Linked DNA regions of Danio rerio. The protein of the gene in region 1 purifies or fractionates together with the protein of each later gene. This does not show direct contact. Links are inferred from orthologs where the notes say so. Each region holds a gene or a part of one and is shown in the gene's direction. Other genes may lie near its edges. The genes, in order: ppm1g and kpnb1.

Evidence for each region.
Region 2: the proteins of ppm1g (region 1) and kpnb1 purify together in Homo sapiens (affinity purification with mass spectrometry; 3 studies listed by BioGRID and IntAct, with this or other methods). This does not show direct contact. The link is inferred for Danio rerio from reciprocal best matches to the Homo sapiens genes PPM1G and KPNB1.

The regions. Positions count from the first base shown.
Region 1 is NC_133188.1:6,217,709-6,222,207, forward strand, and holds the start of ppm1g (protein phosphatase 1G), read left to right. Parts: upstream 1-1,474; 5' UTR 1,475-1,893; coding exon 1,894-2,004; intron 2,005-2,565; coding exon 2,566-2,635; intron 2,636-4,188; coding exon 4,189-4,274; intron 4,275-4,499.
Region 2 is NC_133194.1:51,609,606-51,613,684, forward strand, and holds the end of kpnb1 (importin subunit beta-1), read left to right. Parts: intron 1-76; coding exon 77-220; intron 221-489; coding exon 490-595; intron 596-674; coding exon 675-789; intron 790-895; coding exon 896-1,057; intron 1,058-2,362; coding exon 2,363-2,363; 3' UTR 2,364-3,375; downstream 3,376-4,079. Other genes in the region: csf3b (colony stimulating factor 3 (granulocyte) b precursor), read right to left, coding at 3,659-3,835, 3,949-4,068.

The DNA.
Region 1 (4,499 bases):
TCATAAATAACAAAAATAGTCAAATTTTTTTTTTATTTAATTTTAATATAGCATTTTGCTTGGTCTTAAAGCCTTTTTCAGAGTATTAATTTGACTATTTACGATGACATAGCAGTCAACATAAGGCAAATGAGCTCATGTATGGGACCAATTCTGGATCTTTGTCATTGAGGGGTGAGTTTTTTCAACCACCCGAACTCCTCTGGCTATGGGCCTGCAAAGTTACTTTGAATAAGGTTCAAATTGGGATAATTTTGACACTTACCACCACTTTTTTCAGGTTGGAGCTGGAATTTATGTATTTGCTGCTGTGATGTCAGTTCAATGTAGCGTGTTGTCAGACTATTGTTGTTTACACCTTGGAGTGAAAACAGACTGAACTTGAGGACGGGTGACCTGGTCCGATAAAAACACTACACAGACAGCATGATCGTCCTTCTCGGAACCGCAAATGGCCATGGCATGACCGTATAACTCGCACGTCTCCTTCGTCAACACACAGGCGTGCGCCGGGCGGCCGCGCACGCTAACAGTATAGCAACCTCTCGCGATACAACCTCTCCAATGCGGCGCCACGCGATATTTGCAAACAAAACATATGGATCTTTTTTATTATCATTTGACAGTAATGGAGGAACGCCGCGAAATGTAGCGAAGAGTACTGATTTTTCTCTAATAATTTACTTGAATAAAAGTACACATATTTAAATTTACTCAAAAAGTACACGTTACCCAATAATTTTACTCAAGTAAATGTAACGAAGTAAATGTAACTCGTTACTACCCACCTCTGAAACTAATTATCATGTAAAGCAACACACCCCTAAAACAACGACCTGTGTACATCCCCCCCCTCCCTAACTCACACTTTTTAACACATTATAATAAAAAATCTAAACTGTGTTTTAAAATGAACCTAAACTTGCAGAAGAACCATATAATAATAATAAATCTTAAAAAAGGGGTAAACTAGGTGCCCTTATTTTCAATACAGCAATACCTGACTATAAAAAGATGACAATTTTGAAGAAAAACTAAACCAGAAAAAATGTTTATGTCGAAGGTAGGTTTAAAGCCACTTCAGCTTAAGGGTACCCTTCATAACATCAAAATCAGTTGCATTCAATCCTCCCTCCTTGATTGGTTTCACTACATCTGATTTTCTTAGATAATGATGCTTATTCTTCCATAGAAAAGTATATTGCATTCGATTCAGATTTTTAATGCACCTATCAGATGTACTTACAGAAAAAGATGGGTAAATCATTCTGGAAAGTGTTGTACCTTTTGTAAAACAATTATACCAAAAATAGATAGATTCCTTTGAACCCACAAATTTATTATATTTTGACTTTTTTTATATTAGTCTCTGCAATCTATTGTTAACTATTATTTAAACCAAAAAAAAAAAAAGAAATTCTAAAAACCACGTGCATGCGCGAACTCACAATAGACTTCCGCTTCCGGTGTGCCTAAAGTCCGCTCTCTGCGAAATGGGTTTGTTGCTGGACTGTTGATTATGTTGACTCACACGTGTTAGGGGCTTTTTTGCTTTTAAAAAGAGGCTCTGACTGCATCAACGTTTATCCCCATTCGCGTTTAATGTGAGCTCGCTCAGTTTCAGGCAGGCCTGCCCGGACTCTCCATCATACCTGAGTGATTGTTCATTTAGAAACTCCAGCAGCATCAGCAGTGTTAGCAGCAGCCCATCAGCTAGCAGCAGTAGCAGGGTAAAACACCGGTTTACTCTCATCCAAGCTTCACTTCGCTCTGAAATGTGACCAGAATCTAGTTTTTACAGACGTATTACCTTCTTTGAAGTCAGTGGATTGGATTAAGTGGATTTATTTAATTTTACGCGTTTTCTTTTCACTAAATCTCACTGCACACATCATGGGGGCTTACTTGTCTCAACCCAACACGGAGAAGAGCACTGGCAACGGCGGGAGCAAGAACTTGAACTATGGGTTCTCGGCCATGCAGGGATGGCGAGTGTCTATGGAGGTAAAACAACCACTTTAATAATATTAAATAGGTTTTGTTACTTTAATTTGCTGATAGATGGATTGCTAATGCTATTAACGAGCAAATGTACGTGAATTATATGTTATTAAAACTATTGAGGTAAAGTTGTTCATATATTCAGACTTTCTCCGTAATAATATGAATTCAGAAAAGTATTCTTTGCCAATTTTAAATGTGAAGATCATACTAGCAGCCTGTGACTATCAAAGTACATTGTTCACTCAGTTAAATGATGCTAACGTTGCATTGGAGTCATACTTGTATGCTACTTCAGACCGAATATTCAAAGTAACGTTACCATGGTAAACAATATAAGGAGCATGTCACCGTTCACAAATGAACGAATGTGTGAATATAAAACCAACTTTAACTCCATTTCAAAGCAGTGTATATTTGCTTTTCAAAGTTAAGTAATGCTAGTCAGTATTTTTTTGTCTAGTGGGAGGAGTGACGTGCGCGGATTTTGGCGCCAGTGAGGTCAGAGGGTGACTCCCGCCTCAAGCTCTCGGTTTTTCTTCATAACCTGTTTTTGTTTCCTAGGACGCGCACAATTGCATCCCGGAGCTGGACGATGAAACCGCTATGTTCGCTGTCTATGATGGCCATGGAGGTAAGATAATAGTATAAGGATTTAAAGATGAGGAAGAGAGACTCGTTTCTGTCAGTTGTCCGGCCTCCGATGTTTCCAAAGCAGTCTGTTCATTAATGGGATAGTTCACACTAAAATGATTCTTCACTCACTATTTACTCTTCCTCAAATGGTTCCAAATCTTTGACTTCCGTTAAAGGCCACCTATGATGGAAATCAACTTTTGTGAGCTGTTTGGACAGAACTGTGTGTAGGTATAGTGCATACCTGTCAACATTGGGATGTGAAAATAAGGGATATGCCCACCATAATAAGGGATTCCCCTGACCCCCTTTAGAAAAAATTCCCCAAATTACTTAATATGCTCATTTGCAGCTGTTTCGTTGTAAATAAACAGTTCAGTGGTCAGTAGTATGTTTTATTATTATTTACAAAAGAAAACATAAATAGTATACATTAGCAGCAAATTAGCAAACAGTTCAGCTTATTAAAATTAATAGCTATTATTGAAATGTAATAGAATTAAATCCCATTAGCCATTTCTTCACTGTATAACATACACATTCTGATTAAAGAGCAACGAATGCATGATTTATTTAGATTTTTTTCCCCTTTGTTTACATTAAATAACAAGTGTCACTTTAAAAATGCACACATCTAATGTTATAATGAAAGCATTCAATTGCTAAATTGCAGCTGTTTATGCTCATTTAGGACGAAATTATTTGTGATTGGAAAAATAAAAAACACCAAGATCGATATCTTTAGATATTATTATTTTTATTTATGTGTATATCTGTTGAAACACGCACCCAAAACCCAGTCTTTTGCTCCGCTTCAAATCTTGAGTACAGAATCCGTTTGGGAAAACAGCGTCTGTTTATAACTATGGAGCGCGTCAGCTTACAGTCATGCAGCGCTATATGACTGTTTTGAGGATTGCATATGAAGGGGAGACGGCACCTGCAATGAGTAGGAAGAGAATCGCGCCGTTTTAATGTTTATTTCAAAGTGTTTTCATGCCTAAACAAAGCGAAAGCACTGAACAGACTCGCATTTAAGAGCAAGGGGCGGTCCCTAGTGGTTCGGCGGTATAGGTTGCGTATGGGAGGATCGACTAATTAAGGTTTATTTGCCACCTTTCAGAGAAAGACTAAAAATACGGGAAAATAACTTTACGGGATCATGGATCATTTTTCTGCTGATTGAGCTGCTCTGAGACATTGGTAACTTATAACAGGCTGCTCACTCCAACGATTTAATGAATAACATTGTAGTTGTATTTAGACATTTATAATTTCATTTTCACATTTTCTTTTTAATTAAAATAGTTAGTGAGCATCCAAATGGAGAGTAACAGATTCATATTATTCATTAGCCATTGCTGACTTTAACTTTTATTTGGCGAGTGGCAGTTTTCGGTCCTGGACATGAGGGTGAGCAAATTTACAATCGGTTTAGCATTCCTAAATGTGGACCAAAATGGATTTTCCTGGATGTTCTCACATAATTCATCAGTTAATTTTCAGAGTCTTCATTGAGTTTGGGCACACTCTGTTATGTTGTTTCTCCAGGTGAGGAAGTTGCTTTGTATTGCTCCAAGTACTTACCAGGCATCATTAAAGAGCAGAAGACGTATAAAGAAGGCAAGCTGCAAAAGGTAAACCTTGCTGATCTGTTTAAGTTGTTTATTGTTAAGATATGACTAATAGGTTTGTCCATTATGATTTCTTCAATGACAGTTACCTTGTGCGATTTTGAATGGGTTTCATTGTATTTATTATATTTGTATAAATCCAAGTTGCTTTTGCCATGAAGATACTCTAGCCAATGAAGGTTATATAGCATTTAATAGAAGATGCAATATGATGACATTTACCACCAG
Region 2 (4,079 bases), on another chromosome or scaffold:
TCCACTGTCTCAGTGCTAAAGCTGCGCTTACACTAGTTCAGCATGTAATCGTGTGTGTGTGTGTGTGTGCGCGCAGAATGAGAATGTGCACCGCTCCGTCAAGCCCCAGATTCTGTCTGTGTTTGGAGACATCGCTCTCGCCATTGGAGGAGAATTCAAGAAGTACCTGGACATTGTGCTGGACACTCTGCAGCAGGCCTCGCAGGCACAGGTGGACAAGGTGAGCAGATGAACACACACACACACACACGGCGCTCAGTGTTTGACGATTGTTGTTGAACTTCTGTCTATTATCATCTGTGGTGCTGTGATGTCCTTCAGTCGTGTAGAGCAGACGTTCAGCGCTGCTCTGGGCTATCACTGATCTTAAACAGTTCAATGAGAAGATCTCCAGACCTGACCGCTGACAGCACACACACTGTCTGTCTGTTACACGAGCTGAGCTGTGTGTGTGTGTGTGTGTGTGTGTGTGTGTGTGTGTGTCTGCAGACGGACTATGATATGGTGGATTACCTGAACGAGCTGCGTGAGGGCTGTCTGGAGGCCTACACCGGCATCATCCAGGGCCTGAAGGGGGACCAGGAGAATGTGCACCGTAAGTGAACACACACACACACACACACACACTTCAGCATTGCATGGCGTGTGCGTAATGTGTGTGTTCTCCTGCGCAGCCGATGTGATGCTGGTTCAGCCGCGTGTGGAGTTCATCTTGTCCTTCATTCACCACATCGCAGAGGACGAGGACCGATCTGACGGAGTCGTGGCTAATGCTGTAGGGCTCATCGGGTGAGGCACATACACACACACACACACACACACACACACACACACACACTCGTACAGACAGACATTGTGCAGTAGTCTGACCCCTGTGTGTGTGTGTGTGTGTCAGGGACCTGTGCACCACCTTCGGGAAGGATGTGATGAAGCTGGTGGAGGTGCGTCCTCAGATCAATGACCTGCTGACTGAAGGCCGGAGATCCAAAACCAGCAAAACCAAGACTCTGGCCACGTGGGCCGCCAAGGAGCTGCGCAAGCTGAAGAGCCAAGCCTGGTGCGTGACCTCTGACCCCACAAACCTGCCTGTGTGTGTGTGTGTGTGTGTGTGTGTGTGTGTGTGTGTGTGTGTGTTAAAGCTGTTCACTCCAGTCTGAGGAGCACAGAGAGTGTGTGTTTCTCTGGCCCTCACTCTGCGAGTGTGTGACGTGTTGTTCTCCTGTGTGTGTGTGTGTGTGTGTGTGTGTGTTTCTCTGGCCCTCACTCTGCGAGTGTGTGACATGTTGTTCTCCTGTGTGTGTGTGTGTGTGTGTGTGTGTGTGTGTGTGTGTGTGTGTGTGTGTTCCTCTGCCCCCCACTCAGCATGTGTGTGACGTGTTGTTCTCCTCTGTGTGTGTGTGTGTGTGTGTGTGTGTGTGTTCCTCTGCCCCTCACTCAGCGTGTGTGTGACGTGTTGTTCTCCTCTGTGTGTGTGTGTGTGTGTGTGTGTGTTCCTCTGCCCCTCACTCAGCGTGTGTGTGACGTGTTGTTCTCCTGTGTGTGTGTGTGACGTGTTGTTCTCCTGTGTGTGTGTGTTCCTCTGGCCCTCAGTCAGCGTGTGTGTGTGACGTGTTGTTCTGTGTGTGTGTGTGTGTGTGTGTGTGTGTGTGTGTGTGTGTGTGTTCCTCTGCCCCCCACTCAGCATGTGTGTGACGTGTTGTTCTCCTCTGTGTGTGTGTGTGTGTGTGTGTGTGTGTGTGTGTGTGTGTGTTCCTCTGCCCCTCACTCAGCGTGTGTGTGACGTGTTGTTCTCCTGTGTGTGTGTGTGACGTGTTGTTCTCCTGTGTGTGTGTGTGTGTTCCTCTGGCCCTCAGTCAGCGTGTGTGTGACGTGTTGTTCTCCTGTGTGTGTGTGTGTGTTCCTCTCAGCGTGTGTGTGTGACGTGTTGTTCTCCTGTGTGTGTGTGTGTGTGTGTGTGTGTGTGTGTGTGTGTGTGTGACGTGTTGTTCTCCTGTGTGTGTGTGTGTGTGTGACGTGTTGTTCTCCTGTGTGTGTGTGTGTGTGTTCCTCAGCGTGTGTGTGACGTGTTGTTCTCCTGTGTGTGTGTGTGTGTGTGTGTGTGTGTGTGTGTGTGTGTGTGTGTGTGTGACGTGTTGTTCTCCTGTGTGTGTGTGTGTGTGTTCCTCTCAGCGTGTGTGTGACGTGTTGTTCTCCTGTGTGTGTGTGTGTGTGTGTGTGTGTGTGTGTGTGTGTGTGTGTGTGTGTGTGTGTGTGTGTGTGACGTGTTGTTCTCCTGTGTGTGTGTGTGTGTGTTCCTCTCAGCGTGTGTGTGACGTGTTGTTCTCCTGTGTGTGTGTGACGTGTTGTTCTCCTGTGTGCGCAGATCTCCGGCTGTGGAGTTTCTTCTTCTTCTTCTACCAGGACAAATGGAAATGAAAGCCCTGCGGTTCTTCTGTCTTTTAGAGCTGTGGACAGAAGTGCTTGTGCGCTGATGAGTGTGTGTGCGAGTGTGAGAGCGAGTGTAAGAGCGAGAGATTGACACACACCTTCAGTCCAGCTCCAGCAGAGGAACAGCGGCACACACCTCCACCTTCTCCACCTGCCCGCGTTCTCCATCCTGACCCGATCCTCCCCCCGGCCCGATCAGCTGCAGGACTGACCGTCACACACTGATTAGCAGACGGCGGCCGCGGGAACCTGCTGCTGGAGCCATGATGGCGTGACTGGAGTGTGTGTGTGTGAGTGAGCGAGGGCGGCGCTGTTTCCGCGTCGTCTCTCAATATTTCAACCAATAATAAATAAAGGTGATCAATATCTTGTTTGCGATTGAGTGAGCTGCTCTTGCGTTCCCTCGGCGAGCGGCAGTGGAGGCGTCCGGCCTCTCGTCACGGCTGCGCTACATTACTGGCCTCCTCCTCCTCCTCCTCCTCCTCTGTGTTTCTTTAATAATAGTGCTGATTGAGTAATGGTTCTCTTACCGGTGTGTGTTAGTATGGATGTGCGGATCGGAGCTTCACCTGCCCTGCCTAGGGAAGACTATTGCCACTACAGGCGCAGGCTCCGGCGGAGCGACGGGATATTAGACACCTCCACACGCGACTTTATTCTCCTTTATTTGTTTTGCAGGAAACTGAGTGCCAAACCCAGCGGTGCAGATGGACTTGAGCTTAATGTGTTACTCGTAGAAGATGCGAATTAATAATACACACGTCAGCGGCGGCGAGCCGAGCAGCATCCATGTGCTTTTGGTTGTAATTTTTTGTTTTGTTTTCCTCTTGCGGCACTTAATTGGAGTCATTCACCGAGCTTTTAAGAAGACGACGACGGACAGAATCAGACATTTGTATGAGGTTATATTTTTCCATTGATATGAAAATAAAGTTAAATTAAATCTTTCTGCTGTGTGTGTGTGTGTGTTGTGTCTTCAATAATGGCACATAAATGAGCAGCACACGTCCACAAGACCAGTTCAGGAAAATAATTTAATAATAAATACATTTAAATAGAACATTACAGCGCACCCACAGGGCACAACATGTGTTAAACACACAACATGTGTCGGTCAACATGTGTTAAACACAACATGTGTCGGCTACCAAAATAACAAATGTTCAAAACAATAAATATTAAATATATAAATATGTAGCGAAAGTCATGGTGTGTGTGTATGTGCGTGCAGTTAGCATTGAGACACACTGATGCAGCGCAGGCTGCGGAACACGTCCTGCATGAAGCTGCGCAGCTGCCGGAGTGTCGCGCGCACACGCACCTGCAGCTTGAACTGGCTGAGTGGAGCCGAGAGAGTGTGTGTGTGCGGCAACACCTGAGGACCAGCAGAGGGCACCTGGAGGAGGAGCTGCAGAACACAGAGCGCATTACACACCAGTACACACTAATACCAGTCAGTAATACACACACGCTCACCACTGTACACTAGTGTCAGTCAGTAACACACACACACACACTCACCAGCGTGCGCAGCTCTGCGAGGTCGTTCAGTAGGTTCTCTGGGCGGCAGGGCTCCAGCAGCTTCAGCAGGACTCTGTGATGAAGCTCCAGACCGATGAGCATCCGCTGCACACGCTCCTCCTGCACACACA